Lepisosteus oculatus: one gene and its partner. The protein of the gene in region 2 interacts with the protein of the main gene of each other region in a pairwise test. Links are inferred from orthologs where the notes say so. Each region holds a gene or a part of one and is shown on either strand. Other genes may lie near its edges. The genes, in order: fcho1 and protein-tyrosine kinase 6.

Region 1 (16,421 bases), on a different chromosome or scaffold from region 2:
GTGAAGACCATTTAATTACCTGCCTGTGCCCTTGTACGCTGCGGTTCTCTGCTCACCCTCTCACACGCAGGCAGCAGGGCTTCAGCCGAGTTACTGTGGTACGCACTGCAGCTTGCAGCCTGCACGACGCTGCTGCCTACTCACTTCAGCTCAACAGGCCCGAGGACACGACGTGCAAGTGGAAATGAACAGGAAATGATTTTAAGACTGAGAATAGGTGGTGCTTCTTTACACCAGTGGTTCCCCGTGCTGGTCTTGGGGGAACAGTCTCTTCTACATTTCTCTCCAGCGGAGCTCTAACAGTCCAGTGCAAGATGATGACTGCAAACCCCCACGTCAAGGTACAACTTCAGCCCCCATGACAACATGCAACTTGCTTACCTTTTTGACTAGACAGAAATCAGTTGATCACACTAGACGATTAATTGATGATGAAAACACACACTCCAGCAGCCACTCCCACACCATCCTGGGCCAGAATGAGCGCCCCAGACCTGCTTCTCCAACGTGCTTCACCTTGAGAGTCGCGCATCACACCACATGGTGCAAGTCCCGCACAGTGCTCTGCGGGGGAGTTCACTCTGACTTGGAGGTGTGGCTCGTCTCTCGCTGACGTCACACACACTCACACCAGGGCCAGTCTTCCCAGAAGCCAGCTGACCCTCCACCACGTCTTTGGACAGCAGGAGGAAACCGGAGCACCCAGAGGAAGCCCGCAGAAACACGGGGAGAACATACAAACTCCTCACAGACAGCAACCCAGAATTGAACCCAGGGCCCCAGCGCAGCAAGGCAGCAATGCGGACCACTACACCACTGTGCAGCCCATCTACTTAACAGCACTTTCTGAATTTATAATCACACATCTCTTTAGAAACATCCAAAGCTTATGGAGTTGAGTATTCTGGCGACTGATTTCATCCCTCCTTCCGGAGCAAGAAGATCTTTCCGTGTAGTATTACATGATACCGATCCTTGCAATTAGCATTCAGCGTTCTGGGAATTCCTGCTTTATATAGTTTTTGCCCTCTCCCAGCGCAGCCGTCCCAAACAGAAGACTACATTGTGCACACAGCTTGTCTGGTTTCCAGTAACTCGCTGACCCAAAAGCCCCACCAAGCTGGGTTTTTTTTTTTTCCTGGAATGCGAAGGAGTCACAGCGTACGCGACATCTAAGATCTCCACACACTCGAGCCTGGACACGCAGGAGGGGCGGCGCCGCCGTCACACGGTAACTGTATCAGCACGTGCATCCAGGCGTACCGATCTGAAGCGCGGCCGCGGCCCGCACGCGAGGGGGGGGGGGGTAAGGCCTCCCCCCCCCCCCCCCGCGCAAACCTGCACCCTGCCTCCATCTGGCAGAGACCGGGGGCTCAGGTCCCCCTCCAGCCTGCCGGCAGCCCTGCTCCCTCCGGCTCTGCACGCCCAGCGGGCTCGTGTTCATGGATTAACAATTGCCCGGCTGCTCCGGAAAAACAGGACGACGTCAACCTGCGACGGTGGCGGAGAGGCCGGCTATTTCACCCCTCATTCCAATCACCTCCAACTCATGGTTAGTTTTATTCTCTAGATGGGGGGGTCCTGTAACCCCCTCGGGGGAGACGCCTGCTTGCACTGGCGGCGGAGCTCACAGATCGGAGGAGCTCCCTCACCGGGGAACGTTTACACGATGCCCCTCCTCACACATCTCTGCTGTAAGCCACAGCAGGGAGCGAACGCACAAACAGAGCCAAGGCACACCTCAGTGAACACCTCCACTAACTAAGAGATGGCTCTCCCCAGAGCTCCCGCACCCAGCTGCCCTTCTCCGGGCCGATCCCAGAGCAGCCATATCTTGCAAGGTTACAGAAAATCAGTCCAGAGAAAAGCAACCAGATAGACTCTGAAGTTTTAAAGGACTGTCCTGCACCGACAGGCTGACGGGACTGAACTTCTTCAGTACCGAACAGAGAAGAGGGGACCTGATTCTCAAAGACACCGAGCACATTCCGACCCGGGACACTTCTGTAGGATGCGCGGAGAAACACGAACCAGGGAGCACTCCTGGAAACGTGGCCGTGAATTTAAAAATGAAGGCTGGAGGCAATTCTTGTGCAGTTCATGTGCTGGGTGGCGAACTTCTAAATGCCCTCTAGATAACGAAGCACCCCGATGCACTGAATGACCCTGTAACTTTCAATACATTCTTGCCTGCATAATTTGTACCGGAACAATTTTCAACTTCTTTTTCCGGAACGTTCTTCCCAAGACTGAAATTTACTCGTGGGTTCAAAGTGAGGAGCAACTCCTCCCCCCCAAAAAAAAAATACATGCATCTTAGCTCTGTAGCTCTAATCGATCGATGACGTGTGATGATAACTCAGAAGCGGCTGCAGGTGCCTCAACAGCCCCCTGCTGAGTGAGGGGGTGGCGGCAGTGAGATTGAGCGGTTTCATCTCGCCGTCCAGGGGAGCACCAACGAACCCTCAAAGGACCCACAGCCTGGATCAGGAAGTCACATGGCCCAGACCAAGGGAGCCGAGCGCCTATGACTCATCTGACATCAAGGATGCATGGTGGAAGGATCAGTCCAACACACACACAGCGCTCATAGTCTCACATCGCTTACTCACTTTCGCTGTGCACTGCTGGCTTTTCCCCAACCAGAAAAAAAGAAACACGTCTGTTGGGTGAGTGCATCAGTTGTGAATGGCACCGGCTCGTCAGCCGAGTGGGAGGACAACTGTAAAAGCGTCACAGAAGAAAGCCACAGATTTCACAGGCACAGAAAGACACAGCATCCAATTCTCCCGGTTTTCCTGGGCCAAATCAAGCCCCAAAAAAAAAAACAACGATAAAAGGGGGAGGTCAACAATTTTTCCACAACAGCCACCTATACTTTCTGGGAAAAAGTGAACAGCACTCTAACCCTGTGCAGACACAGACATGCACCGACAGTCTCCCCAGAAGCCAGTGTGTTTTGGGGCTGTGGGAGGAAACCAGAGCGCCTGGAGGAGATCCACACAACCGCAGGCAGAACATACAAACTCCACACAGACAGCACCGGGGCCACAGTGCTGTGAGGCAGCGGTCCTAATCGCCGTGCCTCCTGCCACTCCCTTTAAAACCTCTTACATTCACAATGTTTAGACCAGAGTCCACCCCCTGTTGAAAGATTAAGATAAAAGAAACACAAAACCGAAGAAGTACCAGCATGTGTCTGTTCACGAATGCATACTGTATATAAAACCAGGGCTACCTCCTGTTTCAGAATAAAGACCAAACTCTTTGACAGTCTACCCCTGGCTACCTCAGAATGAGAGGCTTTTATTTTCGACGACATAACCTCCCCAAATTAGACGGGGCCATTGAAGCAAGTAAGCTCTGAAAGTGTACTGTTTTTCCCCACCGCCGAGGGCAGCGGTGTGACCCGTCAGCTCTCCCGCTGACCAGTGACCCGGCCGGAGCGGACCAGACACTCGGCTCCCGGTTTTACCGTCAGTCGGCGCCTCTTGGCGAAGACAAGTGTACCGTCTCATGTGTGTACCACTCCTGCGATACTGCGAACAGACACCGCGACACAACCACAGACAGTCGGTTAGAAATTGACAGTGGAGATTCTTACTAACGGGCTAACATCAATATTAAGAAATAGAAAAACGACGGCAGGTCCACAACGCACGGACACAACCCTAGCGGGGACACTCGTACCTGAAACAGAGCAGTTACAGCCCCTGAAAACGCACTTGATTGACGCTGATCCGATCCCAGCGGACTATTCATTTACGAAAAACCGCGACCGGCTCGCGCCACTGTCAGGGCAACAGCGCGCGGGTCCCCCGCGAGCCGGAGGAAGTTGACGGAGCCGCGTCTCGAGCCACCCCGAGTCTCCACGGCTCGCGCCCCCTCGCCGCCTCGAACCGCCCGCGTGCGGAAAACCTCCCTCTCGAGGTTTTCTTTGAAAGAAAGACGCGCGGTTAAACCAAATAAAATGCGCACAACCGAACAGGGCGTTAATGGGTAATGGGTTTTTTTTTTTGCCGAGCAAGACGTAGTTCCTCGCACTTTTCTATCAAATCCGAGCGGTTTTCGGGATTTTTTTCCCCCCCGATTACCTGCAGATGATTTCAGACGCAACGGCTCATCCTCCATCCCCGATCACCTGTCCTCCCTCCGCTAGCGCGTGGAAAGTCCTGTCTTGTTACACTTCCAACCCACAGTGCTCTCGCCGCCCGCAGGCCCCGCCCACCGCCGCTCCCATTGGCCACGGGCTCCGTCCGTCCCCATCCTTGGGTGAGATGCGCCGTAGGCATGGTAACCACCGGGGGGCGTGGCCCGAAGCCCAGCCTCCCGACCAATCCCATGCTGGGCTGCCGGACCTGGCTCCCGCCCACCTGTGGGGGAGCCTTGGAGCGCGGCCGCTATTGGCCAGAACAGCCGTCATTGTGCTGGAATCGCGGGAGGCGGGAGCTTTCAATTGTCCTGTGCTGCACCGCCGCCTCAGCTCCGGGGGTGCTGTCTGCGTGGAGCGTGGGTTTCCTCCCACAGCCCAAAGCATGCTGGTAGGTTACTTGGCTCCTGGGAAAACTGGCCCTTGTGTGTGTGTGTGTGTGGATTGGACAGCAGTCCCGTCCAGGGTGAGCCCGAATTCGGTAAAGCGGTTAGGAAATGGATGGACGGGACTCTATTTTATTGACAGTTTTTCGGTTTTATTATATTCAAAGAAGATCAGATTATAACGAGAATTCGCCGGATTTTGTTTCCCGAAATGTGTACAAATATTCCAAGTTGCGTTTTAATTCATCGCTGTGACAAGAAAGCTGGGAATTAGTGTAAATGTTACTAGTAAGTATAGCTTTCATCCAGCAATGTGGCCTAATTTTAAAAGACAAATTAACATTTTCCCCTGTTCGAAACGACCTTCTGTGCTTAATTCCGAAGACTGAAAAACAAAAAAAACTTTATCATTATGTGCTACGAAGTAAGCGGGAGATGTATTTTAATCGTTGGGTCGGTTTTATTACGGCAAATGTTTTATTCAGAGACTCCTTTGGATAAAATATACACTTTTTGAAGGCCACTGCAAAATCATTCACAATGTATGATTCAATTGGTTTATTGATTTCTTAATAAATATTTATGCAGCTATTAATGTTTTAAATTCGTAAGCACACAACTGAACTTCAAACCTGAACTATTGCAGTTTCTGAACAAAAATGCAAAACACTGTGAACACAATCTACATAAATGAAAAACTTGAGAGTACGCAAATCATTTTCAAGGTCACGCCAGGCAGGTGCTGATGGGCGCATTACCGAACTCTGTCCACTAGAGGGCGGGAGACCCTTACAAATACGGTCAGGTCAGTCACGATCTCTTCCTCCCAGGTCGATGATGAAGAAGGCTATTCTAACGGTGCTGATGTTACTATCATTGATCTGCCCTTTTTAAAACGCATCAAGGATCAAGACAGCCGACCATCAAACACAACCTATCCGTACCAGTATCACGGATCCAGTACCCAGAGCCCAGGATAAGATAAGATCACCTTCTTGGCCCTATACAATTCCTTGCATTAGGAATTTGTCTTTTTGCAGACCCCAGCTCGCTCTCCATGAGACAGACAGAGAAGCTGGGGGTCAGAGCGCAGGGTCAGCCATTGTACAGCGCCCCTGGAGCAGCTGGGGTTAAGGGCCTTGCTCAGGGGCCCAACGGAGGAGGAGGATTCAAACCGGCAACTTTCCAGCCACAGGCTCAGGTCCTGAGCCACAGAGCCGCCGCTCCGCCCCACAGGGCGAAAAAAAACTTGCGCCTGGCGCTGAGATGAGCTCCGGTATGGACTTCGCCTTCACCTGCATTTGAGGGTAGCAGCTTGGGGTAGGTCTAGGTCTAGGGCTCCCGTTCCGCTGAACGGTGTGAATCGTCCCCGGCTGGCATACCTGCTTAAACCAAGGAAGACGGTTCCTTAAAGTATCCACACGCTGTGTGGCCGGTCGGGAGAAGCTGGATTTGGCTCGTACCCTGCTCACCGGCACGCCGAGGACGCGTGTAGTGGTTTGAAGTCGAGTCTGCTAGGGGGCTCACCTGTCCGAAAAGCGTGACTTCCCGATGTGTCCTGTTGGTGCCCCTCACCTCTTCCAGGGAACTCCCCAAGCAGGGCTCGAACCGGATCGACTGAACAAGACAGACAGGCACGCAGACTGTAAATAAACCCATCCTGAACGCTTCCTTTTTCGAGTTCACGTTGAAAGGGGACTTGTTTTGTTTTTTTACAAACCGAAACACGTCGTTTTTGTCTGATCTAAATCCTTCATGGGTAAGGTGTCGTCTCCGACGGGGGGGGGGCGGCGCACCTGGGCTCCCCGCACCTGCAAGCTGTTGCCACAGCAACCATCCCGCTGCCTCCCAACATCCGGAGCCGCCCAGCCAATCGGAGGCTCCCTCGCTGCGGGGGCGGGGCCCGGGGGAAGACGGGAGTCACTGTCCCGCCCTCCTCCTGCACGACTCCTGACACGGTAGACTCGTCCCTTTCTAAAACTAAACGTTTCATTAATTTTGTAGTGATCTTTACGGATAGTAACCTGAATGGGGTTTCATTTTACCCCTCTATCAAATGTTTTTTTAACTCTACAACACAATAATACAGCAATTTGTATTGGGGAAAAAATACCCATCCTGTTGGTGCCTTCATACCAACTACTCCATCCATCCATTTTCTAACCCCAGGTGTCCCCGTATTGGATAAAGTGAACCCGGCCAGCAATGGGCAGAGGTAAAACCATGCCAATGATGATCCAGATTCTGACTGTTTTTTTGAAGGTCAGCCTGCTGCCCCATTGCACCTGTGGGCACTGGAACTCAGTTACCTGAACCGAATAGTGAAAAAACAAAACGAGACCTTTAAGTGATTTATAAAAGAAGCATATTTATTGGAAATAAAACAAAAAGGATTAGTGTTCAATACTGAATCAAGTCATCAGCCTTCATTTCAGAGTACACACAGCTCCCCCACTTTCACACACGACAGACAGTAGCCTGCTGTAGAACCTGGTGAGATCGCCCGTGAACATGGTCCTGCTGCTGATCCACTACGTGTGCTCCAGCAGCCAGACAGCTGCAAACAGCTGGATGTGAAGAACAGTAACACTGCCCTGAAAGACTGAACCAAAGGTGACTAGTGTAAGGGAGGAAAAAACAGCAACTTGCAATTTCCAAAGTTTGTTTCTGGTTCATTGCATCAAAATATCTTTTGTAATAGTTTTTCTCCTAAATCTTCAGGGGTTCAGGGGCAACCTCTTACTCCTCAGTGTTTATTCTACTGCAACCATGTGGTTGCTTAGACAACCTCAACAATACCTGTCCTCTATCATCACCCCCCCAAATGGGGGCGTTTACTGACCATAGTAACTTACTTCATCTCTCTGCTATGACTTCACTCCCTTTTGGTGCCGAGTGAGATTCTGAAAGCCTGGACATTCAGTAAGAAAATCCCTCACCCTTCTGCCATGATGCAGGACAAAAGGTAAAGACCTACTGTGGTTTCTGCACGGAGAGATCGCACAAAAACTGGATTTGATTTTCCTTCAGAAATTCGGGGGGGGGGGTCACAGGTACATTTAAAAACATGTCAGGTTCAAGTCAGCTCTTCCCACAGCTGCTGCAGACAGCGTCTTAGACAAAGTGTTCAAGGCCAAAAGCCTCACATACAAAAACAGCCAGCAGTGAGAGTGGTGCATGCTGGGTCATACTGTTAGCTTAAGATGCGGACTTGAGTTGCCTTATATGGTAATCAGCGTACAGTGCAGCAGAGTAAGACATTCAGTCTAAGTACCAGACACAGATGTCAAAAATACTCTGCAGTAAGCAACCAAATGACATTTGTTTCCTTTTTTAACAAAAAATACCACGCCTCAGGAAAGGAAACGTCTGCAGAAAAGCCTAAGCCAGTTTCGGGTTTAAACGATAGCTTGAACTACACCACAGAAAATGGCGTTTGACAGATTTTAGTTTCAGTCTCACATGACAGTAAGGGGATTTTCAGGTAAGCAATTGCAGCTCGGCTCCCGGAACAAGACTTCCAAGGGGGTACAGAACAATAAGTTGCAATTTCACAACGTGACCACTAGGTGGCACATAAGCAATGACAGATTTTTTCCCCCACAGTCGTTTTAAAACAGGGATCACTGCCGCGTTTGATCAGGTGTTTTTGAGTAACAGAACCATGTTAATACAAGCTTATCGAATGTCACTTGTGTTATACAGCCAGCTCTATTAAAAAATCAAGGTAGATATTCTACCGAACAAAAAAAATCAACAATGGTTCAGGAATAAAAGATACTGATTTTTGAAACCATGCTGTCTCTATGGTACCAGACAACAGACGTGCACACATGAGAATCTTTCTCCGAGGCGCTCCCCACGATGGAATTCCTCACAGAAAAGCACGAGACGCCCTTCACGGTCTTGAAATCCAGAGGACTCAGCAGAGTAACTGTAATACAGCTGAAACAATCAGGATTGTGAGGTTCCCAGAACAATGCCAAAGGAAACGATTTAAAAAAAATAAATTAGCAAACAGACAAATAAATAAAGCGGGCGATGGAATTTGTTTTCCCTCTTTACATTACAATGTCGAGTACTTAAACAAAATTAAATTAAAAAGAGAGCCCTTGTGTGAAGGGCTCATCCTTGGATCTTCTGCCATGTCTGTAAACAGCCCCAGGCTTCGAGAATCGCTGGGGAGCGGCTAGGCCACAGCTGTCACCTTGACAACCTGCACACAGACACAGCACAGATCTCTCCCAATGAAAATGAACTCTTTCATCCACTCTTAATGCACTTCAAGGCCTTGACACCGTTATCTTCAGCCATAATCTCCAGGGAAGAAAAAAACAGTAAAACAACACTTCTGGAAATTATGTCCATATCCACAATAGACTCTTTCTTAAGCTTCTGTAATAATTTAATATTCAGACATCATTTTCAGGCAGCTGCAAAACCCACCAAAAACAAAATTAACAGAAAAGAGCCAGATTTTCATTTCATATGGTCTGGAGGGAATCCCAGCGGTAACGAGACCTCGGCCTAATTAAACTCCGCAGCGATATCCCGCACGGCCCCGATTGTTTTTAACTGGCAATGTTTCTGAAGATCACAGTTTCCAAAAAGAGTTTTTTTTTTTTTTAAAAAGTGACTGAATTGTTTCGCTCTTCATGACACAGGATCGCGCTTTCTGTGTTAAAAGACTGAGACTGACATATTCACCTTTAGCGGAAATTGTCTCAAACTAAAAAGTGTCCGAAAAAGCCTTTTGCTATGGGATCAGGAAGAGCCCTGAAGGATGAGAGCAGCCCCCTGCCTCACCGTATTGCACACTATCTAACACAGTGCATGCAGAGTACGACAGGCTAAAACGCACTGATAATTCACAGAATATGAGCTCGCTACCCTACAGCAGAACACCACAGACAAATGGACTAGGTGATGATAAATGTGGTGATTTTTTTTTTTGTTACATTTGTGTAAATATTTCACATTTAGGCACTAACGCAACCCAGGCTCAAATATATGTATAAATATAAAAAAAAAAAATCGGAAGCGAACCCTGTCCTATAAAACGTCTTCCAACTCTTGCTAATTACGCTCTTGCTACTTCCTCTTTTAATTATAAAAAAAGTCTTGCGTGTGCAACTTTAAATGACATTCCCTCCGAGATACGTGTGGCACCTAGAGATCACAGACACAGAACAACTACTAAAATGTGGTTATAAAACACGCTCGACGACGGTTTTGTTTCAGGCAGTTCCACAGCCCCTTTAACCCTCAGGAACCCCCGACCTGACGATCGGACCGCCCCGAACCAGCCAGCGTCCCGCCAGAAACACAGCCATGGCCTTCCGGGTCCACCTGAGGGCACCGGCCCAAACTCCGCGAACCGCGCCCCCCCGAAAGGAGCTCGTCGCCGCGACACGGCTGCGCTCGCCAACCGGGGATGCGTCGGCCGTCACGCTTCCTCCAGCACCGCGGGATCGACCCCCCGCGGCCCAATCCCGTCCCCCGCTCCGCGGTGCAAAACCCAACACCCTTCACTTCCTGCTCATCCTTCCACGACCTACTTCTCCCACAGACAGCCCAGACCAGGCCTTCCCAGAACAGCCCCGCCCGCCTCACTGCTTCGAGCTGGAGAGCCTTCCTCTCTGCAGCGCTCAGCTCACAGCCTGGGTGGGCACCTCCCTCTCGCCCCCAGCAGGTGAAACCAGCCCCGGATCCCGCTGAGCTGCTACTGCTCTCGGGCGGTTTACTCGTTCCGAATCGGAAGCACGCAGCTGAGGTGGGAACGCTTTGGCGGAAAGGGGGGGCCGAACCAGGAGACGCCTTTACGCCCCTGTCCTGACACTGCAGTCCCGCTCAAAGTGCGCCCCCCGCAGGACGATCCATTCATTCCCGAGACCCTACAGACTCATGCTTTTAGTGACCAGTTTGGTTTCGTTGTGAAAACCGTGCAAGTGCGCAATTAAGATAAGTCCCCCCCCCCCCCCCAAAAAGAGGATTGTTCTGAAAGGCAGCAATGAATTCCCACGGCCTCAAGGGGGGGAAAAAAAAGAGTAGGAGTGTAACAAAGGAGTGATGAACGGCCCCGTTCCCCAGAATCAGCCGCCTTTCCAACCCCCTGGAGATGGGCAACGCGACAGGAAACGGTCAAGGGCGGCTGCGAACGTGGAAATGAAGATCGGATTTCGGGGAACTGGGGAGCCCGTCGTGGCCTGGTCAGGCTGGACGGCGGCCGTCATGCTGCTCTGGGGTGCGAAGCTGCCTGGGGATCCCCGTCCTGATCGGGGGGATGGGGAGTTTCGTGACCAGGCACGCGGCACCGGCGGCCGCGAAGCGCGAGGGAGGGGGGTGGGGAGGAAAGGCGGGGGGGGGAGGGGGCCGGAAGCCTCCTCTGCCCTCAGAACTCCACTTTGCAGGCTGGGAAGGTCTCGTCCTGCATGGCCACCGTGCTGTTGCTGCCCAGCACCGTGATGCCCAGCTCCCGCTGCCTCTCGTGGGTCTCCTGGTACCAGTCGTGCATCACCACCGAGTCAAAGGTCGGGATCAGGGTCACCTGGAGGAGACAGGGGACGGCAGTGAGAATCCTCACGCCTCTTCGGCGTTCAGAGCTGCCTTCTGTTCCTGCTGGCGATTTCCTGCCAGGTGCTGTCTAAAGCCGTGCCACCTTGTGGACGTATATACTGAACATCAAACACCACCACCGCATTTCATTCTGCCCGTTACCATTTGTGATGGGCAGGAATGAAACGCACAGGTTAGCAGCGTGCGTGGCCAAGGCTGGAAGGAATACCAGATGTGTGCGGTGTCCTGTCCCATTCCTCTTGAAGAGCCGGGACTGGCGTGTGCCTGCTCACTGGACTCAACCCGGGACGTCACATCGCCCCGGATCATCCCACCGATGCTCGATTGGGGTTCACACCTGGTGACAGTCCCCCTGTGGATGCCCTACTTCAAACCTCCACCACCCAGGAAACCAGCTGTCACAAGCAGCACGAGGACACGCTTGTCCTGCTGGAACGCTAGCACATTAGGATGAACCCACAGGAAGTAAAGCATGCCATGACCAGCCGCGGACGAAAAAGACGATCAATATATTGGTGCCATTTGGATTAAACTGTATCCAAAATATTTATAATATGCATATATTCTTGGTGCTAAAAACAAATGCACAAGTGTGATTGCTCAGTATATACAGAATTAAAGTAAACAAGAACTGCATCATTTTTAACATCTTTGCTAAAAGGAACCACTGTAGATCAGGACAGCAAGATTCTCCTTTTCTGCCACATGAGCTCAGCGGTTCCTATACCACACTGTGACATCAGCAGCTAGCCTGACAGCACATGAGCACAGCGGCTCAACGTCTAGAAATTCTGCCCACTTGCTCATGGCATCTGTCTGGAGAACAGGTTGTCAACTGGTACTTCACTAACTGCAAGGCCCTGGGGAACTCTGGGATGAATTCGTGAAGAAAGACTGACTGAAAGTAACTACCAGCTAAGCTAAGAGGACGTTTCAAGCCCATCTTCCGACCTGCGGCGGTACCACTGACCTGCACGCTGCCCGACCACAACGCCTTGCCCTCCAGCAGCGCGTCCAGGATGGGCCGCATGACCACCTCCTTGAGCGGCTCGTCCCCGCTGATGATGTAGCAGGACGAGCGCAGGCGTTTGAAGAACTCCACGTCCACCGTGGCGGCGGCGCGGCCCGAGGGGAGGTACGCCAGGTCCAGGAACACGGGCGTGCCCGCCGGGGGGGGCCTGCCGCCCACAGGGCCTGGGAGGAGAGGGAGACAGAACGAGCAGGCATGACGGCTCGCGACAGAGATGGTCTGCTGCCGATCGGAAGATCACAGAATGCGGGGGGGAAAAAAGAGGAAATTCAGAACACCCATCGTTTTGCTGAAATTCAGACCACTCGTAGCCTGAATGTTTCACTCGTGCAGATCAGTTACAGCTCCAGAACCGGGGGGGAAAAAAAAAAACTGGAAGAAGAACCCGGATGGCCCCCCCATCAGAAACGGCCGTATACTTGAGATTTAAAGCAGGTTCTCCGTCGTTTCGACTTCATGTGTCAGAAGAACACATCACTCTACTACTTCCCCCGTTTCGTCTTGTATTTGTCCTGTCGTACCGAAGAATGAATCTGGCGCTCACCTGCAGTGGAGGGTCTTGCAGTGGTCTTGGAGACGCCCGCGGTGTTCCTGGAGGGTGGCCGGGCGTCCAAGCTGGAGCTCGCCCTGGCGGAGGAGGAGGAGGAAGTGCCCTGGGCACCTTTAGCTTTGGTGTTCTGCGCCGCCGCGTTGGCGGAGCTCAGCCTGGGCGTGCCCACCTGCTTCCTGGCCTTCGCCGCGCCCTTGCCGTTCTTCGTCTGCTGCTCGGCTTCGGGGTCCGCCATGCAGGTGCCGGGCTGGGGCGGCAGGGGGGGCAGGTCCTTCAGGGGGGCGGGGGGCGGATCCCGGGCCGCAAGGCCCCGATGGGACGCGCGGGAGGCCGGCCGCTCGTGTGGCGCGAAGCTTCCAGAATCGTCATCCGAGTCCAGGCCGCCGTCTGCGGTGATGGAAGGGCAGTCCTCTGTTCCCGGGGGAACGTCGGAATCCGACTGGGTGGGGAGGGACTCGCTGGCAGAGGTGGGGGGCGTCTCCTGCCCCTGAGGGGATCTGCGGTTGCCGGCCCGACGCTGCGACAGGGGCTTGGCAAGCTCCTGGGAGAGATCACTGTCGTCCGACAGGTCTCGGGGACTGGGGTTGACGACGGAAGGCGAGAGCTGTTCCAGAGCTTTGGGGTGCCTGAACTCGCAAGGGGAGACGAGGCACAGGTCCACATCATGAGGAGGTATCTCTGGGAGGAGGGCATGTGGTCCAGGCAAGCGTCCCTCCGAACCGTCACCTGGAGGCCGGATATTGTGAGATGTCCGCAAGGGAAGGGTCATTCCAACTTTGGACTCTGGGTCCACAAAGTAACCATTTGTGTATGGCCGTTCACCAGTCTCTTCTTTGGGAGACTCACTGACTGGGGGTAGTACTTGTTCAAAGGAAACGGACAGGGACTCATCCACTTCTGTGGAATGGGGGGAACCAACTTCTGCTGGAAGGGATGGAGTGGTGATGGTGGGAGAGACATCAGGCATCACGTCCTTAAATGGGCTCAGAGAAAGGAAGCTTGACTGTTTATCCTGGGAAGAGGAGGAATTTTCCAGGCCAGCTTTAGGGCAGCCGGACTCTGAATTTCTACACGACCCCAGAGGCCTCCCATCCTCAAAGGCTAAATTGGACATCTTCCCTCCTTGACTGCTGTCTTCTCCAGATCCCAGACCATCCTCTGCAGGAGACTGGTGGAAAGGGGTATGACCTGCACTGGCTGGTCCTGACCCAGGAGGAGAAACAATCTCCAGAGTCTTCTCATCTGAACTCCCACATGGGTCCTCCTGACTGTTCCTCAGCAGGCCCTCTCTCAGGGCTCCATCCAGGAGCCTGAACTCGGTGGGAGTGAGGTCAAAGTTCACACTGCGGTCACTCTTGGGGGTTCTAGCCAGGGGTGATGGAGGGCCTATCACCTTACCGGGGTTGGGAATAGCATCCAGAGAGCGGAACTTCTCTGGGCTTTCCAGAACTTCCTCCACAGCTCCATTTCCACTCGGCTCGCCTTCAGCCGCTACGTTGTCGAGAGGCGACTGTTCCACTTCGCTCTCGGCTGTTGCGATGCCCTCGTCCGTTGACTCCTCTTTGCCCGTCTTTGCACCGCCTCCCCGCTGCTGCCTTTCGCTCTCTTCTCTCAGCTGCTCGAACTCTGCCGTCATGTCCTCCGGAGTGGACATTTTGGAGCGCTCAGCGTCCCCCTCACAAGCAACAGAGAGCTTTTCGCTGTCCGTGTCCTTTCTTGGCGTCTTGAGCTTTGCGCCTTTGGCCGAAGACGTTGCTTCCTTCTTCAAAGGGGCCCCGTCTTTCTTTGGAGGCCCAACTTTAGCAGCCGGTTTCTTCGATTCTGCCACAGCCGAGGCGGCAGCTCCTGGAGCTCTCTTGACCTCTTTCACGGGTTGCTTGGTCAACTTCCTCTCCTCTGCTTTGACCTCCTTTTTGACTTCTTTCTTGGGCTCTGGCTTGACATCCTTCTTTGGTTTTGCGGCCGCAGTGTCCCTTTTCACCATTTCCTTCTTTTTCTCTCCATTCTCCTCTTTCTTCGCGGGGAGTTTCTCTTCTTTCTTCTTCACCTCCTTCTTCTCATCTTTGGCCGGCTCCTTCTTGGTGGCCGGCTTCTCTTTTGACGTCTTTGGCTTCACATCAACCTTCTGTTTTTCCTCCTCCTTAGCTTTTGATTTCTCTTCCACGTCCTTTGGACAGGGTCCCTCTTTCAATGCATCTCCAGAAACTTTGCTCTTGGCCTTAGTGTCAGGTTTTTTGTCACCTCTTCCTAATTTTTCCTTCAGTGTACCACTGCTGGGTCTGGAGTCTTTTGGGACCGACTTCAGGCTCTCCCTGCTCTCTGCCCTTTTAGGCTGCTTGTCCGACTTGGAGGATTCCAAGTCTTTCACACTCACCACTGGGTGCTTGAGAAAATCCAGGTGCTTCAGCTTCTCAAGGCCTTCCAAGATTTTCCCCTGGGGTGTGCAGCCAGGGAACAACACACGGATAATTTTCTCCAGGGGGTTAGCTGGGTGCCAGACCAGTAACGCACAAATGGAAACTAGGCACTGAAGACTGATCTCTGAGCCTTTGGGGGAGCCATTGCCTGGCCAGTTCTGCATCAAGGTTTCAAGATCCTTGCTGCCTTTCACTGGGTTGAGGACATACAACTCCAGGCGACCAACCCCCATCTTCTGGAAGAGGATGACTGGCTCAATAACAGGCCCATTGGTGCGGCACAGGGGCTCTGGCTGAACAGACAACCTCTCCAGGTACTGCAAGGTAAGTGCCACTTGATCGCAGCTCCTCAGCACTTTCGGATCGCTGGGGAGGGTTTTTAGTCTCTCTGGGGCATTGAGGAACACCACTCCCAGCTCCGGGGAGATGAGGTTCTTGAGCCAGTCTTCGTTGCTTTGAGACCCCGCTGACTGGTCGTCTTCCAGCTCAGCCGCCTTCCTCTGCAGCAGGCTGTTGATGCCAGGGAGGTTGTCGACCCCGATGTGGGTCAACAGGACCGAATCGATTCGGTCGAGGTGCCGGACCAGCTTCCAGAAGCAGGCACGTGAATCGGAGCCCCCGTTGACCAAAACATTGAATCCGTTGACGGCGAAGAAGGCAGAGTCTCCCCGCCCTCCAGGGAAAATGTAGCAGCAGGGCCTGGAGAGCTTGAGGAAGCCAACGGTGCCGGGCGGCTCCAGCAGTTCGAAGGGAGAGCGGGGCTCCAGAGACTCCGAGAGATACTCGGTGAACTCCTGCAGACCTTCCATCTCGGGCAAGATGGTGGGGGGGTTCGTCTTGATCTCAATGAAGTCCTGAAGATTATGCTTCTCCAGAACAGAGTTCTTCCACTCGCCCGAGTTTGGGCCGGCTAGGGTCAGACTGGCTTTGTGCGTTGGGTCTGCAGAGCTCAACAGTTCACCAATCTAGAGGAGGAAAGCGCACAAAACACTTAGACTTCAAACACCAACCTCAAGAATGACATCTAAAATTACCGTATTATGGGCTGAGTAAAGCTGAGTTTCACCATTAATTAGATTCTACAATATCCCAGAAATGTCTTTTTTGGACCCTTAAGACCCTGGCAATGACTCTGATCGTGCACACTCTTCTCCTCCGACCCGCCCACCCCTCATCCGAGTCCCATTCCTAGTTAGCTAGCAGGGTTTCTGCAAAGGTATTCGCTAACGCTGACCTCTTTATCTGCGAAGATCTGAATGAAATCCTGGAGAGAGAAGCTGCCCATCTGCAGGACCAGGTCCCCCTCCTCCTC
Region 2 (16,149 bases):
TCTATATTTTTATATCCCAGAGTAATTGTTTGCCAATTGCAATACACACAATGGGTAGAATGGCCCCCTCTTTGCAACCTTTGTTATTTGATTTTATTATTTTGTTAACTAGAATTAACATTAATTCATCTACCTTTGTCACCCGAGCCAACCCAAAATCAGCCACTTTGCAGATGAGATTGTCTCCAACTAAAACGTTCCGTGCTGCCAGATCTCTGTGGATGCTTTTCTGGGATTCCAGATGGGCCATCCCATCAGCAACCTGACAGGCCATGTCTAAGAGTGAAGACATATCCAACCGCCTGCCTTCTGTACCTACAGATGACAGAAAAAAAGGAACAATTTCAGAGACTGTCTTTATGCCGTATTAGTACTGTGAATAACTAACGTAAAAAGCAATTTTACAAGGTTTAAAGGAAAATGAAAGTCATAAACCCACACAATAAAAGTGCTTACCTCTGAGAAAATTCAGTAAGTTCCCCTTTTCCATCAGTTCGGTGACAATGTAGTAGGAGTCTTCAGTTGTGCAAATTGCAAGAAGAGAGATAAGATGTTTATGGCGAAGCTTCTTTAGTATCTGCGTCTCTAACTGGAACTCTCTGTAATTCACATTCTCTGTAGCAGAGGAAAATAAGACTGTATCAATAGGGCTCTGGTAGAAAAGACTTGATAATGCAGGAAAGCTAGCATTCAGTTTGATTGAGATGTACAAACAACTTAAAAAGTTTAATGGTAGATTCGGAGACAAAAAAGGATCAATGTAATTGAATACATATAGCTCAAAACATACACCTTGAAAATATGTTTTAAAGAATCATGCTGAATCCCAGTGGGAGACACTGTTAAACCAGATAGACTGCATACCACAAAATACTTTTGTTGTGTAAACCTAAACAAAAAGGCTTGGTATGACAACTTTAAGAATCATGTCTGCCGCAGTGTTTTGGAATGATGGTGCACTGGGACGTATTTTAATAACACGTGCTTTATAAACGAATAATGGATTGATTGAAGCCTTTTCCTTACACCAAAGTAAGTACTACTCAGGTTCTTCAGCGTGTCCTATACGTTCTCAATTATGTTGATTACTTCAACGGGCATTCTCCAATCTCCAGGTTTATAAAGTAAATTAAGTACTCAAACAATGGCCATTTTGTGCTCTCAAAGCTCCTGGTGTTTCGTTTTACTTTTAAAAATGGCAATCAGCAATTATTTTTGTAAGAGCCACCCAATTTGGAATCAGCAATTGTGATTCACTTTTTCTTGCTGCTTCAACCCTTGTATCATACAGGTGAGATTGAGGTGATGGTGACTGTGAGGACATCTCAAACCCACACATCTCTAGTAGCACTGTTGCTTTAATAACCCCTGTCCCAATGAACGCATGAGGCATGAATCATACACTATGCATAAGCCTGTTAATCCTCACCTTTATTTTTTAAGACTTTTATTGCGACTCTAACTTGATTTTTCCAGAGTCCTTCATAGACATCCGCAAAATATCCAGTTCCCAGCAATTTGCCGAGTGTAAACTCTTCTTTAGGAAGCTCCCATTCGTCTACAGTGGAGTGTGATAAATCCTGTGGTTTAGGTTCTTTCTGTTGGGAGAATGAGCATTACGTTACAGGCTCTACAGTCTGGATGGGGTAACTCAAAGTCACTCAAAAAGCTGTTGATTATGTATTTAATAATGTTAAAGTCCACAAAAACTGCAGAGAAATAGATATATTCGTGTAAAGGATAAGCAAAATTAAATTATTTTAAAAATGATGGCATTTTCTAAATTGCCCCTACCAAAAACACATCCTATAGAGTGCCTAGAAGTTCCTGAAGGTCATTTTATCCTTAAAGACTAAAGCTATCATTGTCAAAGTGACACTGAGAATTCTAATCGAGCTCCATAGATCCAGGCTTCATGATGGTACACACCACGTTAAGATGAGATTCATATAAAGCCTGTGCATGCACATATTTGGAAAGTACCCAAGAAAGCAGTGCAAAATCTCCAGAACAACAATTAGACTGATGTCTAGTTTCACAAAATAAAATGACCACTACTGTTGTGCTACACGCAAATTATATTTTGCATAAAAAAAACAGTTCCTTGTCTCACACAGTTTTCATGACTAACAGCACTTACTCTCCTGCATCCTTCTGTCAGTTTCTCTATGATGGAAAAGGAGTGAGTCTTGTAGTAGTCAATGAGACCCATCAGGGTGGTGAAGCTGTTTCTCTCATTTAAACAGTACAGCCCTTCTGCATTTTGCAAGATTTTGAAGTGTTTCACTTTGTTGTCAGATTTAACTGTGGAGAACATTACAAATTGAAGATTATAAATCCTAAACCCAAACTAGAAATCCTATTCATCACAGTGAACCACATACAGTAGCTTCCAATTAATCTTGGGAGATAACACCTAATGTCAATTGAAAGTTCCAATTTCAGATAATTTCTGTACATATTCTATAAAAAAAATTGAGGAAGTGTCCCAAATGTGGTAATAATTTCCTTCCTGTTAACTTTTATTTTGAAAACAAGACTATGCCTGAATTGCAACATAGTGTTTTCCTTAGAAGGAATCCTGTATTTTAAACATGCCCACATCCTCCTTTAAAAAGTGCAGGATAGGAGGTATGTTATACAAACATTCAAAATAAACCTTTTCATCCATTTCACATGTTTAACATTAATGATATACTGTATGTTTACCAATAGTTTTGGGAAATAACGTATTAACCACAGGAATATTTAACATGCAAATTGATTGATTTGTGCTTAAAAAAACAGAATAAGCTCTGGCCTGAGGAATCAGTGTGTGTGGCTCAGATAGAAATATCTTGCTTGTGGATTTTCTATAAAGTCACTATAAAGAAACTGCAAACTTGTAATTTGCAATTGCAAGTGGTTAAATGTTTGTATGTAATCAAAGGCCTAAGCAGATTTCATTATGTAAAACATGAAATTAATGGCAGACACAAGGTTACATATTGAACTGCAGTATGTCTACACATGCAAATTGGGGGTGGTTGACTAAACTTTGTCATGATTATATGCAACAAAAGAGAATTGCATGTGCACAATGAGGTGTCAGGTTGGCATTGCTCTGTTAATTACACTTCCTGTCTGATAGTCAGTGTCACACCTGCCTCAGCCTTTGAATTATTTAAAAATATTACTGAAACCAGAAAGGAGAAGTATAATGCATCAGAAATATATGGTCCCTCGAAAGAAGTAAAGATACTGAAATATCAAATGAATTAAGTGTTAAAGAATGAATTAAGCTGAGGTGTTCAAGAATGTCATCACTTTTAAAATGATTGAAATCTAAAGTTAATTGCACATAAGTGTGGGCAAGAAGCAACTTTTAAAGGATTTCAGCTTTTGTACCACAACTACAGTAATGTATGTTCTACAAAATCAAGACTGCTATTACTGATATTACTGATACGTGTCACTAACCTGTCTTATCTGAGCAAACTGACAGGCAGTGCAAAAAAACATTAAAATCAGTCCAAACAAAATCATTTATTACAAGGAATGTTCACTAGCAACTACAGATAAATGATTTCCAGCTGAGGATTTCTTAAGCAAGTGCTTCAGCTTAGCAAAGCAAACATGAATCTTCAGAAGCACTTAAAAATGGTGTTTAATACCAGTCTCCCTGCAATCTACACATATCTCTGTGCTCCTAAAGTGCCTTTGAAAAATTGAATCCCCTTCCCTTTGCTTCAATTAATATTTAGTCCCCATAAGAATGCAATTTTACCCCAATTACATCATGGTAAAGATAACTGAAGTGCATAGGAATGCAAGAATATTTCATTTGTCTGAGAATACAGTATGTTCAGAATCTTCTCCATGTCTGAATACCATGCCATTGAAAACCAATAGCTAACAAAACTGCATCCACTTTCAAGTCCTGGTGTTATGGCCCCTTTCCCCAAACAGTCAACTGATAATATAAAGTGCTATGAATGAGCTCAGCACGTGTTTTTGCTAGATGAGTAGCACCCACCAGACAGGACATAGTCCACATGCTCTCTCTCGCTGAGACGCACCAGGAATGTTCCTCTGCCATTTTCAGGTGAGAGGAGGAGGTTCACAGCCTCTAACCGGTTCATCTTCCCAAAGTACCATCTGAAATCATGGTTTTCAAAGTGATTTGTGATACTCCGAAAGACACATTGGGTTCAGAAAGATCGGAAGTTTAGCATTGAACAACAGCATTGAAAAGAAAAACGCCCTCAAAGTATCTTAAAACATTTTGTTAGTTATAGTATTGAAAAGAAGAATGGGATTAACATTTTGTCATTTTTTTTAAATCTGTGATGATAATTGTATCAACTGCGTATAATAAATAGATGGAAAATTCAATTGTGCGTCTAAGAACTAAGAACTTACGCGTTCCTAGTGAAGCTCTAAGGTGAGGCAACCTTTATTCATGGAAGCGAATGCGTTTTTTTTATTTACCTTTTCATAAGCTGAAGCAGTTTTAAAGTTCACGTGGAAAAGGAAGTAGCAAGTTATTAAAGCAGAATAATTTTATTAGGTCATTCAGTTTAGCGAAATACCACTCACACCTTCCTGCTGGTTTTATCACTAATCCTCAAAACCCGGTTGCATTCGAGATTTGATTTACTAATCATTATGGCATTCTGACCATTATTAACTCACTATAGCAATATATAGCAATATTAAACCTTAAAAAAAGAAATTATTGTTGTCCATTCATACCTTGATATAGAAATGCACATAAATCTACAACGAATCCCAACGCCATTCTTTGTTATTACTGTTAAATACTGTTTGCCTGTACTGAACCTATCATTAGACACCTGTCTTTGAATCAATCGCTTAATAAAAAAAGTGGGATTTCGAAAACTCAACGTGTACTAATAGAGAATCTGAACAGAGAATGTATTATGCGCTAAAAACTATTTACAGTAACTAATTACAAAGCATGTGGCCCCTATTCAGAAGCGTCCAGAAATGAATTTGTCCTAGTACTTACGGCTGCGCTTCTGCAGTCTCCCCTCTAGCGAGGTAATTATAGGGCACAAATCCCTTGCCCACAATTTGCCCATTGGGAGTCACTTTCGCTGCATTCCACCATTCACCTGTACGACTCAGTATCTTAAACCGGTCACCCATTTCAAACGACAATTCCTCTTCAGCTCTAGCGTGAAACGGCCAGAGAGCCGTGTACATGTATCCGTCCGGAGTTTCTCCCTTGGACGCGGGTACCGGCGGTGGCAGGAGTCGGGGTGTACTCGGCGGCTGCCGCAGCGCTTCGCCGTTCTCCGTCTCGTCAGGTTGGACTTCGCTTGCGTGACGCTTGCCATAACACCTGTCCAGCAGGCTGCGCAGGCAGGGGCATTTATCACCCCCAACTGTTTCACCCATAGGAGAGTCCTCGAGAAAACTGCGGTCTGTAATTCCCAACAAATTCTGAGAGCTCCCCAGTTCTCAGCCTAGTTCCAGTTGAAAGCGCGAGTTAAGAAGTCGACCACAAAATAATAATCATTGCAGCGTATTTCTCTCTCGTCACAGGAGCGGATAGTATTTTCACTAAACTACTTTTCTTTTACTGGACTTCTGCTTCCTCGTTATGCGGCGTTCGGCATTCACTTTAAAACCACGCCTGTTCGCATGTCTAGAATTCCAAGAGCAGTAATGCTACGAATAACGTATGGAAACAGCAGAACGCAGGTAAAATCTTAAGACGCTGACAATTTGATAACTACCAGCTAAAGACTGTTGTACTTGTAAAAAAGTGCCGGCAATAGAGACGCTCTTTTGCTCATTTACTATCCGATTAAATAACATACAGTACAGCGGCTACACCCATCTGAAAGCTATTTGAAATTTTGCAGGCAAAACAAACACGTCCACAAAACAAACTTCATTGCAGCTACTGTTTGGCGATAGCGGTTAAGGGGTTAACTACAGCAAATTAAAAATACTGAACACATCACTCAAGTTCAGTTCCCCATTACAGACACCCGTTCTGCGGCAACATCCCCACACAAAATGCTAATTTGGGGAATCTGTTCATAGAATAGCGCGCGTTTTTTTTTTAAAATAAACTGTAATCCAAAATTGTATTTCTTTATGGACAATTGAATTTAATGAACATTTTTACAAAAACAGCTTTTAAACCCCCCGTCAAGTCAAAGGTGAAGCTTTAATTGTTAATGTACAATATTGTAATAAAGTACTTGCACAGTCCTGTTAAAAAATACACCATCATCACAAGTATTTTCATCATAATATAAATACTGCCTGTGTTGCACTAAATTACTAGATTATTCTCCATGTCTGGGAAAAATACAAACAAGCAGCTAAGTAATTAGTGATACAGACATGCTCAGTCACAAAGTCCTTATTTTTTCAAATCAAAAATATGCATTAACATTTTTAAGTAGTACTGTATTTCCTGAGAGATAAAGAACAAACCATACAAAACACTCATTTGGCCTTTTCATTCATTTTGTTTTCCATTTATATTAATGTGTACACTGCATGGAGTTTGTATGTTCTCCTCAAGTCCACATAGCTTTCCTTTGAATGGTCTGTTTTTCTCCAGCTGTCCAAAAACATACTGGTGGGTTAATTGGCTTCAGGGAAACTTGGCCATAGTGCAAGTGTGTGTCTGTGTCTGTCCCATCTAGGGAGCTCTCTGCCTTGTACGTGTTGCTTGCCCGGACAGAATCTGGCTTCTCTGCTTTCCAGAATTGGGAGAAGCAGTTAGAAAATGGATGGATGGATGGATACCATAAATTCGCACATGTATGACACTATACAGTATATATAACTTGAATCCCTTTCCTCCCTCCACTCCTTCACCATAATAGAGGGAGAAGGGCTTGAGTAAGTTATAATAATTGCTCCCAGTCCATACCTTACCAACAAGTTTGGATTTTGTCTTCTCAACCAGTCTAACCCAAGCTTCGTCATTGCCTGTGTGGTTAATTAACGTCACAGAAACTTTGCCGATATAAACCTGTAACAATGAAATTCCACCATGCACATGCCCACTCTGTTTTGTGCTCCATATCACAACCTCATCAAATTCTGTAGCAGTGCTGTTTTGAATTTGTCACACAAAATACTTAAATTATTATTTCAGATACATGGAAAGGGCCTTTCCATTTAAATTAAATGTTGTAACCTTTTAAAAATAAGTTCAATTGCACTTACATTTCATAAATAACAGTTAAATCTGTTCACATTACAGAAACCTTGGGAATTTATAGCCTATAGGCATGGGATAAACTGATGTTTATCTGCACTAGCTGGTAAAGCTAAAATATACAAGTTCAATTAAAATAAATGATATAAAGTACTAAAGAAGTACATTGGAGCTCAAGGAAATACCCAGAAATTAAGTTAGGCGTGTTCTACAAAGCCCAATGTGTAATAAAGTACTGAATGTGTTGTTTGTCCAGTGAGAACAGTTTCCTTCTGTTTCATGCCACTGGTTTCTATTGATAGATATTTTGAATATTTTCCTCAAGGAAATAATGGTTATTCCTGGTGTTAAAAAAAACAAGAGGTGGAAACCTTCTACCTTACATTTTCCTGCATATTTGAGAAGAGCCGGTTCCTGGGCTAGTGAGAATGTTGAATTAGAATACACCATAGCGGTATGACATAATGGCCCAGGTCACAGTTTTCTTTCTCATCCTTACTGAGCAGACCATGTGACAGCTTTTATGATTTAAACTCACCAGATCCTTTTTAGGTATGAAAATTATTATACATATCTCTTCATAAAAAAAGTATAAATCTGCAAATTTTCAGCCCAGTCCCCTGGTCTTCACGTTACCCCCAATAGTTCTTCTACTCTTCAGACTTCTATAGTCTTGATGTTCATTTTGGTGTAGATGGTGTCAAGTTGGCTTCGTAAGGCATGGAAAGATGGCCTGTTTGTGCTCACTTTATTCCAGCAGCTTAACATTATTTTGTAAATTGTCTGGCTGCATCTTGCAGGACAAGGGAGCCTATAGCCTTTACCCAGAGCTTCCAAAACGTCCCGGTTACTCATGCCTGTGGAAAGACAGGAAAGCAACATGAAGGAATGGTTTCGTAGTCCATTAGAAAAGATGAGGTCTCTAGCGTGAATGTAGCATTTTTTTGACAGATTTAGACCATGCACTTCTAAGTGCACAGATCAAACAAGCACTGCACCTGTTACACCACAAGACTGGTCCTGTTTTAGACATGTTAACTGTCAGACCTAACTCAATGAGATCTGTTTCACAGAGTAAACAGCAGGCAAAGGAGCACAAGTGAAGGACACCCCTTGCTGCATTATCTCAGGGAGTGCTTAGAAAAGAAACCCTGTTAACTGCTGAATTAACCCATGAGAGACTATATATTTAATTTGTTTGCCTGTTTCCAATATCCTGTAAACAGTATGTACACCTAAACCTATATAATACTTGTGTGAATGCACTTAGATTCTACACACCCTATATCTGAAACATTAGGTATTGGAGAAAGCATCAGAGTATGGTAAAATGTTTGTGTTCATGTGCGATTTCTGAGGACCTAGAAGACTTGTACACACCATCGTAAGGCAGCTTTCCATGTGTGATCATCTCATACAGCAGGATTCCAAACGACCACACGTCTGATTTTGGAGAAAACTGCTGGTGAACAGCAGCCTCTGGGGCCGTCCATCTCACTGGGATTTGCATACGTTTGTTTGAAATGTAGACATTATCCTGTAGGAAACCGAGATGCCCAGACAGTCAACATGCTTCACTGGAGATAAAGCAGGGCTTCTGATACACAGGACTATATATATTTTTAGATTCAATGTTACAGCTTTAGTACAATATTTTAAGTTATAGCTGGGGTCAGTGTGGGAGAAATGTGAAGAATACACAAACAAAATCAATGCTGCAAAACAAAATCAATATCATTTTAAAAAATAAACACTGCATTTTAAAAATGTTTTTTTCTGATAATTCTTGCTAGCTTTGATTTTTTTTTAACTTCCCCTCCCAGATCCTGACTTTATTCTTGCACTTAGCTTTGCATTTCTACTAATAATTTGACAGAGTTACTAGAATTTAAACCGTGTTGCTATATACTGTAGTATAGCAGTGTATTTAAATAAATGGAAAAGGGTATTTACCAATATTTTAATATTACTGTTGATCCCTGACATTTCCTCCTTTCTATTAAAATCTCAGTTCTGCAATAGTTTTTAGAAATTCTTTAGTTGAAAAGTCAGGGTTTGGTGACAAAGCACATAAAATGAAATCAAATGAAAGAGAAATCTTTGGGGTGCATTCATGTTACCTTAATGATACGAGCAAGTCCAAAATCAGCAACTTTGCACATCAGGTTGTCCCCCACAAGAATGTTTCGTGCTGCAAGGTCTCTGTGGACAATGTTCCGGTCCTCCAGGTATGCCATTCCTTCAGCCACCTGGCTAGCCATGTAAACCAGGTGAGCCGAGGACAGTCTGTGTCCCTCGGGTGCTGGGAATAAGGGAAAAAAACAACCAGTATGAAACAGGCAATACAAAGGACAAAGAATTACAATTATAATGTGTTATTTGGAAAGAATGATATAAAAGTTCAAGAACATTACTGTATTATTATGGAAATTTCACTGTACTTTTAACACAATGTAATAGAATTGCTTCCATCTTTTTTATAGATCAGTTGTTAAAATACTCTAGAAAGACCATTTTCAAACTCCACACTTACAGCAGAAAGCAGGTTTCAAACATCCACACAATTACAGCATATGCTGGTATTTTTTTAATTTTTTTTTAGTTTTAGTTTGACAACTGAGATTTCCGCAATCCCGCAGCTATTTACTTAGGTAACTTTGTGTATTTCTGACCATTTCTGTATGAACTAATTTTCTGAGCCCTCATTTACTCACTGGTCAGGTAGTTCTTCAGGTTGCCCCTCGTCATGAGCTCAGTGATGATGTAGACAGGCTCACCCTTGGAGCAGATCGCAACCAGCTGGATCAGTTTGGGGTGGTGGAGGCTCTTCAGTGCTTGAACCTCCTTCACAAACTCATCCTGTTTCATATCCTCTGCAGAGAATGCAGAACAAAGAAAGTGCACTTTTGTACATTTTAATCGTGTCAACCTGAAATGCAATCATTGCTTTATCAAGACCAAATCAAAGAGGGTGGAAAATTAGCAAGCTTCAATTCACATGCACTCAGCTAGTTGGATTTTTTATACTGAGTATGATTCTTCAAATAATATTGCCTACACTAGCCATTTGATGACAGGAAATCACCATGGTTAGGGGATCTAGAGAAGTCTAACCGTGCCCAACAACTACTGCTTCTCTCTTGACATTCACCAAAAAACATACTTCAGACATTGGATTTTCTCAACATCATGACTTTAATTGTGTCCCCAGGTTATGTTTATCTTTATCTAAAGTCTGTAGGATTTTGTCTTCTTGGATGAAATGAAGACAGGCAAACTTGTTTCGCATTACAGACCCACACCTGTCTCCTGGGGACTGTACAAAGCCACCTTCCAGAAAGGTCTCCCGACTTTTTGGAGACATCAGTATAAAAAAGTATTTCAGGGATGTATCTTGTGCATCTGACATTTAAGAGACTTTGGTACAGTGTGTGTCTGGTTTTGATGAGATTATGCTCAATCTTCACTACATTATTATACCAGAATAACAAACAGAAATGAAATGAACTACATGAAATGACTTCTACTCTGTATATCATGAATCTCTTGCAAGGGTGAAGAAGGAGTGGGAGGTAGCTTATGAGATTAACCAAAAGAGTTGTCGCTGAACTGAGCCAAACATACCTCTGTACATCTGTCACACTGAATCCTTGCGCTGTATAAATTATAAATCTGACTCAGTGAAAGTTGGTAATAGACTAGTTTTTACTGAAGAGATAATTAAGTGAAACACTAAAAGAGGAACAAAATGCATCTTATAGCACACATATCTGGGAAACTTCGTTAAAACTACACTCACATCATATTTTCCTTAAAATAACTATTAAACTACTATAGATTACTACCAGAAGTACAATGTTCAGAAAATGTTGTTTTACAAGCTTTAAAATATACTGTAACCTTTCTGCAAGTGTGTTGGTTACGTAACAAGGAAGAAAAACTTAAAAATGAGAAAGATATAAATTAACACTTTAAGACAAGTATCAATGTATGTGTAATGAGTTACCCAATTCCAAGTGGTAATTTAGCAGAAAAAACCTGCTGTTGAGAAGGATTTCAAACCACATTGCACAAAATCAGATATCATAGTCAATGTTGCACTATTATTCCTAGCAACAAGGTTTACAGAGGTACTTTCCCGTAATAACACATACTAATTCCTTCCAGCAGAGATTTTATTGCAGTAATCAAGTAAGGGCCAACCTATCGTGTATTATGTGCAGTTACCTGAGATATTACCATAACCTTTTAGACTGTGCTCTGCTGTTCATCTTCATGTCTGACTCAGTGGGTCAGGTAACAAACAAATAGGGAATTGGAACAATAGGTTTATTCCATGCTGAAAAGAGAAGAAAGAAAACAAAACATTTTGGCTGTGGAGTTTTCTTTCTTCTCTTTTCATCATGGAATAAACCTATTACTTGTTCCTTTGCAGCCTATGCAGCTACCCACCTGAAATAGGGAATTGGTTAGACTGACAGCCTTACCCCATGTATCTAAAACTGTCCCAGGCCGGAGACAGACAGTTAAACAATGACAAAGTTATTTTCGCTGTGAGTACTTTTTACATTTATATCAATATGGATGTATTAATCCTTTTAAAAAGGCAAAAAAGCTGGACTTTGTTCTGTAACTATATGAATTACAGTGGGGGTGACAGACATCTCCACATTTCTCCCACATTAAGAGCTCACCTTGTTTTAATATTTTAATAGCCACCTTTTGTTTTTTTGGTGTCCAGATTCCTTGCCACACCTCTCCAAAGTGGCCTTCCCCAAGCTTCCTCTGGAGCACAAACTCTTCCCGAGGTTTTTCCCAGGAGTCCGCATTTAAATGCTCCCTCTGTAGAAACAATGTACACGAAGACAGAGCACTGCAAGTAAGCATCAACAGAAGTTCTTATATTACCAAGCTTCTGTTGAAATAAATCAGATTGAGGCACAAATACAAACTCTCCAGGTGAATTCTCTTACAATAAGAACCCTGAAGCTTCCTTACATAGATTCAAATTTTTTTTTCTTTCCCCAAAACAAAGAAGAATGTGTGCCAGCCATCCAAACATATTCATCACAGCCTGGCTGGGCTTTATTATTGTGATTGACCAGCGATAACAGACATGCTGCTGTAGTTCAGCCACACTCATGCACAATGGGTTTAAAAAGATCTGATCATGTCACACAGTTCACTAACTGTGAAATTAGCTATTCTGCCATTGTGCAGTTGGATTGTTTAAAAGATATTTGCAAGATTTCCATGTCTTCAATTTTCTACCCTTTACACTGGTACTGGTTACTTTCAATTTTCATTCTTATTATATTTGCATTGCTGTTTTGTGTATGTGGACAGTCTTCACAAAGTTTACAAAGTACAGCAGACGTTTATTAAAGTGATATGTCTCAGAGACACAGAATAAAATGAATTAGTGAGTACATCAAAGACTTAAGGAAAAATACAGTATACATGACACTGTGTATATAAAATGCCATCTGTTTATCAGTGTAGTGCCTTTACAGCAAACGCAAAGTGTAAAATTAAAATGATCATCAGTGGTGTGGACATCAATGGATTCACACATGAAATTCTCACACAAAGCTCCTTTCTTTCAAAGTAGAAGAAAAAGAGATTGAAACAATGGCCAAAGTGTTATAAGGTAATTTACTCACTCCACAACCAGAATGCTGGCGGGAACTGAAGAAAAAACACTAAGCTACAGTAAGTGGCAAATGTTTTAATGATTCAGTTCTCTCGTTTTTATTTACAGTATTTCAGCACAAACTAGCTGTAGCACTGGTGTTATGTTAAATGCATTCATACATAAAGTAGGAAAAACTGATAAGGCACTTAGTAAATAGCTTTATGATTTAAATTAAAAAATAACTAGTTGTACAACTTAACACATTGTTATCACAATTGTGAGCTACCAGTCCAAGTAAGATAACAGTTCACAATATTAAAATATTTTCAACAGTTATTTGCTTGCCAACAGTTTTAATTTGCTTGCATGTGAATTTAGTAACTCAAAACATTGAAATTCATAAACAGTATCAAATCCGGAGTAATATAAAAATACCTAGTCAAGTATCCCTTTTAAAGAGCAACTTCACTTACAGGCTTCATAACAAGACATGGATATTAACAACATACAGTATCAATTCTTCCATTTGTGTGATAATGACAGTTTTCTCTACATTGTAAATGTAAATGCTAGGAATGTATCAATTAAAATGGGCGGCAAAACTCTCAAAATATATATTTGCTGTAATAATCAGTGAATGTACATACCTGTTGCACACAAGCTTGCGTAAAAGGCACTCCTAAACTCTTACAGTTGGCCTGGTAGTGGCAGATCAGCTCCTCTAGAGTAGCAAACTGCTTTTTGTTAGAAACATAGTATGCACCATAGGGTGAGCGATACACTCGGAAATGCTGCACTTTTCCCTCGTTCCGAGCTGCAGAAAGGAAGACACAGCAGTTAGTTCAATTCATTTCTAGTTTATTTTCATTTCAATCCACCTCTCCATGCTGTTCTGATTGAAATAGCATGGTGTTACTGCTGCCCTTTGAGAATGTGAAAACTGTTGTATGCTGTCTGGTAATTTGGTTTCAGTTTAACTGTGCAATATGAATCAGTTTTTTCTGGTAACATAACAGAGCTTAGTTCATGTTTCCAGGTGGAGCACTTTACAACCGGTAATGTATAGTAATATATAGTCTAACAACTTATGTATAGTCTCACTATTTGTTTTGTGAGAGCAAAATCATTAAATGCAATCATTCTCACCTGACAGGTATGTATTTCTCTTTATTCTCTTATTTATTCATTTCCCAGGAAAGCAGCATTTACAGAAATATGGGACATTTCCAGTATTGAATACCTAAGTCCCAGGTTTGTATAAGAGTAACAAGTACTCTTCTGCCATCTTATGGCTATGAACAGTTCTGTATGTGAGTAGAGTCAGTTTTGTCAAAACAGAGATGATAACCATGGGTTTTCTTCTGATCACATTTTTGTCTCAATTTTAATCTGTTATTATTTGTGGAGTAGTATCCTATTTTCCGGAAACCAAATAATATCTAGACATTGGGACAAATCAAATGCCTCAAATAAAAATGTAACTATCTGAAATTTGCTGAAACCTGCTCTGTGAAAGGGCCTGTAAACCTGTATAGTCCTGCTATGATGTATGGTAACGGTTCCCATCTTGGAATTATTAACTGTACTCTTTTCCCATATGAAGCTGATTTTAATCCAAATGGAAAGATTGAAAGCACCCATGCATTTTCCCCAAGCGTACAGTAGCTGTGTACTACAAAAGAACATGGCAGGAAAAGGCTCACCCGATATAGAATATTCATCACTGTTACTCTCGCTGATCCGGACAAGGAAAGAGCCACTTTTATTTGGAGATGACAAAAGCAGCTTCTCTGCCTGCTGTCTGCTAATGTTCCCATAATACCACCTGAAAGAAGACACGCCCACCAACACACACAGCCGGGTTACACTTCGTCACATAGGGCCATTCAGCACAATCTCTGGAAACCTATGAGATAAACACAGCTAATTTCAAGGTGATTTCTGAAAAGCAAATGGAAACAAAAGTATTCTTTTAACAGTAAATATGAAACACTGATCTGGTAATTACACCTAAAAATATGTGTATTTCAACAAAGGTCCGAAGAGCAACAGTTCCTATACCAAGCAATAAAAAAGCAAACAGAATGTTGCTATGTAATTATAACTGTAGAATTTAATTCAAGCCATGTTAATGTTAAAATTCGACAGTTCCCCAGCAAGACCTCATCTAGAGCATTGTCCATAGGGCTGGTCAAGATGTTACAAAATAACATTGCTACTCTGGAATCCATCCAAAGAACAGCAACCAGAAAAGTTCAACAGAATGTCCTACTCTAACAGGGAAAAGGAACCTTATCTTTGTCTTCGACACACAAGCCAGAGTACATAAGCGGAATCTGCAGGGAACTGCATTTAAAACTGAGAACAGGACTCACTCCTTCACACAAAGGCACGTGGGAGTCAGGAATAAGCGTTCTAGGCATGTTGTTGAAGCTGTCGCCCTGGCTTCTTTCCAGAAAAAAGCTGGGTGAGATCTTCAGATCAACCAACTACTAGCAACCAAATGAGCTGAATATGCAAATGGGCTCCTTTTGCTTGTACTTTTTTATGTTCTTATGCTGTTATTGCCTTTGGCTAACAGATAGCCTTTATTAAAATCGGTACAATGGGTTTGTTTCACACACAGGCAGAGTGTAATTCACACGGTGTGGCTCTTCAATTATCTCTAGTGGAAATATGCATGAACAAGTTGCCAAGGAATGATCTGTTAGGAGTACAACTTTCAAGCAGGTAAAAGTTACTAAATATTTCTTAAAACTGAACTTTGGCATCCAACCTAAAAAATGCCTGCAATTGACAATACAGCTAAATATGTTGTGATGACTTGAGAGTCGGTTGCTGGTATTGACTTACACATAGCGCTAATAATGATGCTGTGTTCTGTAAACACAAGACTTAAAGTTTAGAGTGCAAAGCCTTTCTTGAAATGTGACTGGCTGGGAGGAATCCCTATTAATACAGGATAGACTCTCAGAGAGGAGGATATCAAAACTAACTCCCCTCATTTTCTCTGTAAACATAATAAAGAAGAACTTCACTCTAACATTAAATCTAACTAATTACTAACATTGCAGCCAGGGGGAGTATAACTCTGAATGTTTGTGTAGCCAGTGTCAGTCATTTAACAGCTTAAGTAAAATGCTGCCACATATAGTTTTGACATGAGATCAGGCCTGATTGTGTGCTATCTACATTGTTTTAGTTAACGGGGAAGATTTTCATTCACAGTTAAATTAGTAAAAACTTTAAAAAGTGCCTTGAAATTATGCATCTAGTCTTTTTCTAGGTTTACCACAAGGAAAGTGCTCTAGTGTATGTCTTC

What was found.
Region 1: the proteins of protein-tyrosine kinase 6 (region 2) and fcho1 interact in binary tests that used the Homo sapiens proteins (3 or more experiments, as listed by UniProt). The two-hybrid records come from large-scale screens. The link is inferred for Lepisosteus oculatus from reciprocal best matches to the Homo sapiens genes PTK6 and FCHO1.

The regions. Positions count from the first base shown.
Region 1 is NC_090724.1:1,723,507-1,739,927, reverse strand, and holds the start of fcho1 (f-BAR domain only protein 1), read right to left. Parts: upstream 6,309-16,421; 5' UTR 6,294-6,308; coding exon 6,257-6,293; intron 6,154-6,256; coding exon 6,064-6,153; intron 4,213-6,063; exon of another isoform or gene 4,132-4,212; coding exon of another isoform or gene 4,095-4,131; intron 3,858-4,094; exon of another isoform or gene 3,691-3,857; intron 1-3,690. Other genes in the region: map1sa (microtubule-associated protein 1S), read right to left, coding at 10,928-11,083, 12,083-12,306, 12,687-16,074, 16,344-16,421. UniProt on the Homo sapiens protein: Functions in an early step of clathrin-mediated endocytosis. Has both a membrane binding/bending activity and the ability to recruit proteins essential to the formation of functional clathrin-coated pits.
Region 2 is NC_090711.1:5,437,460-5,453,608, reverse strand, and holds the start of protein-tyrosine kinase 6, read right to left. Parts: upstream 6,034-16,149; 5' UTR 5,404-6,033; coding exon 5,012-5,403; intron 4,138-5,011; coding exon 4,016-4,137; intron 2,305-4,015; coding exon 2,141-2,304; intron 1,599-2,140; coding exon 1,430-1,598; intron 616-1,429; coding exon 457-615; intron 316-456; coding exon 134-315; intron 1-133. Other genes in the region: tyrosine-protein kinase Srms, read right to left, coding at 7,850-8,049, 8,573-8,729, 9,313-9,494, 9,907-10,065, 11,887-12,034, 13,475-13,641, 14,531-14,652. UniProt on the Homo sapiens protein: Non-receptor tyrosine-protein kinase implicated in the regulation of a variety of signaling pathways that control the differentiation and maintenance of normal epithelia, as well as tumor growth.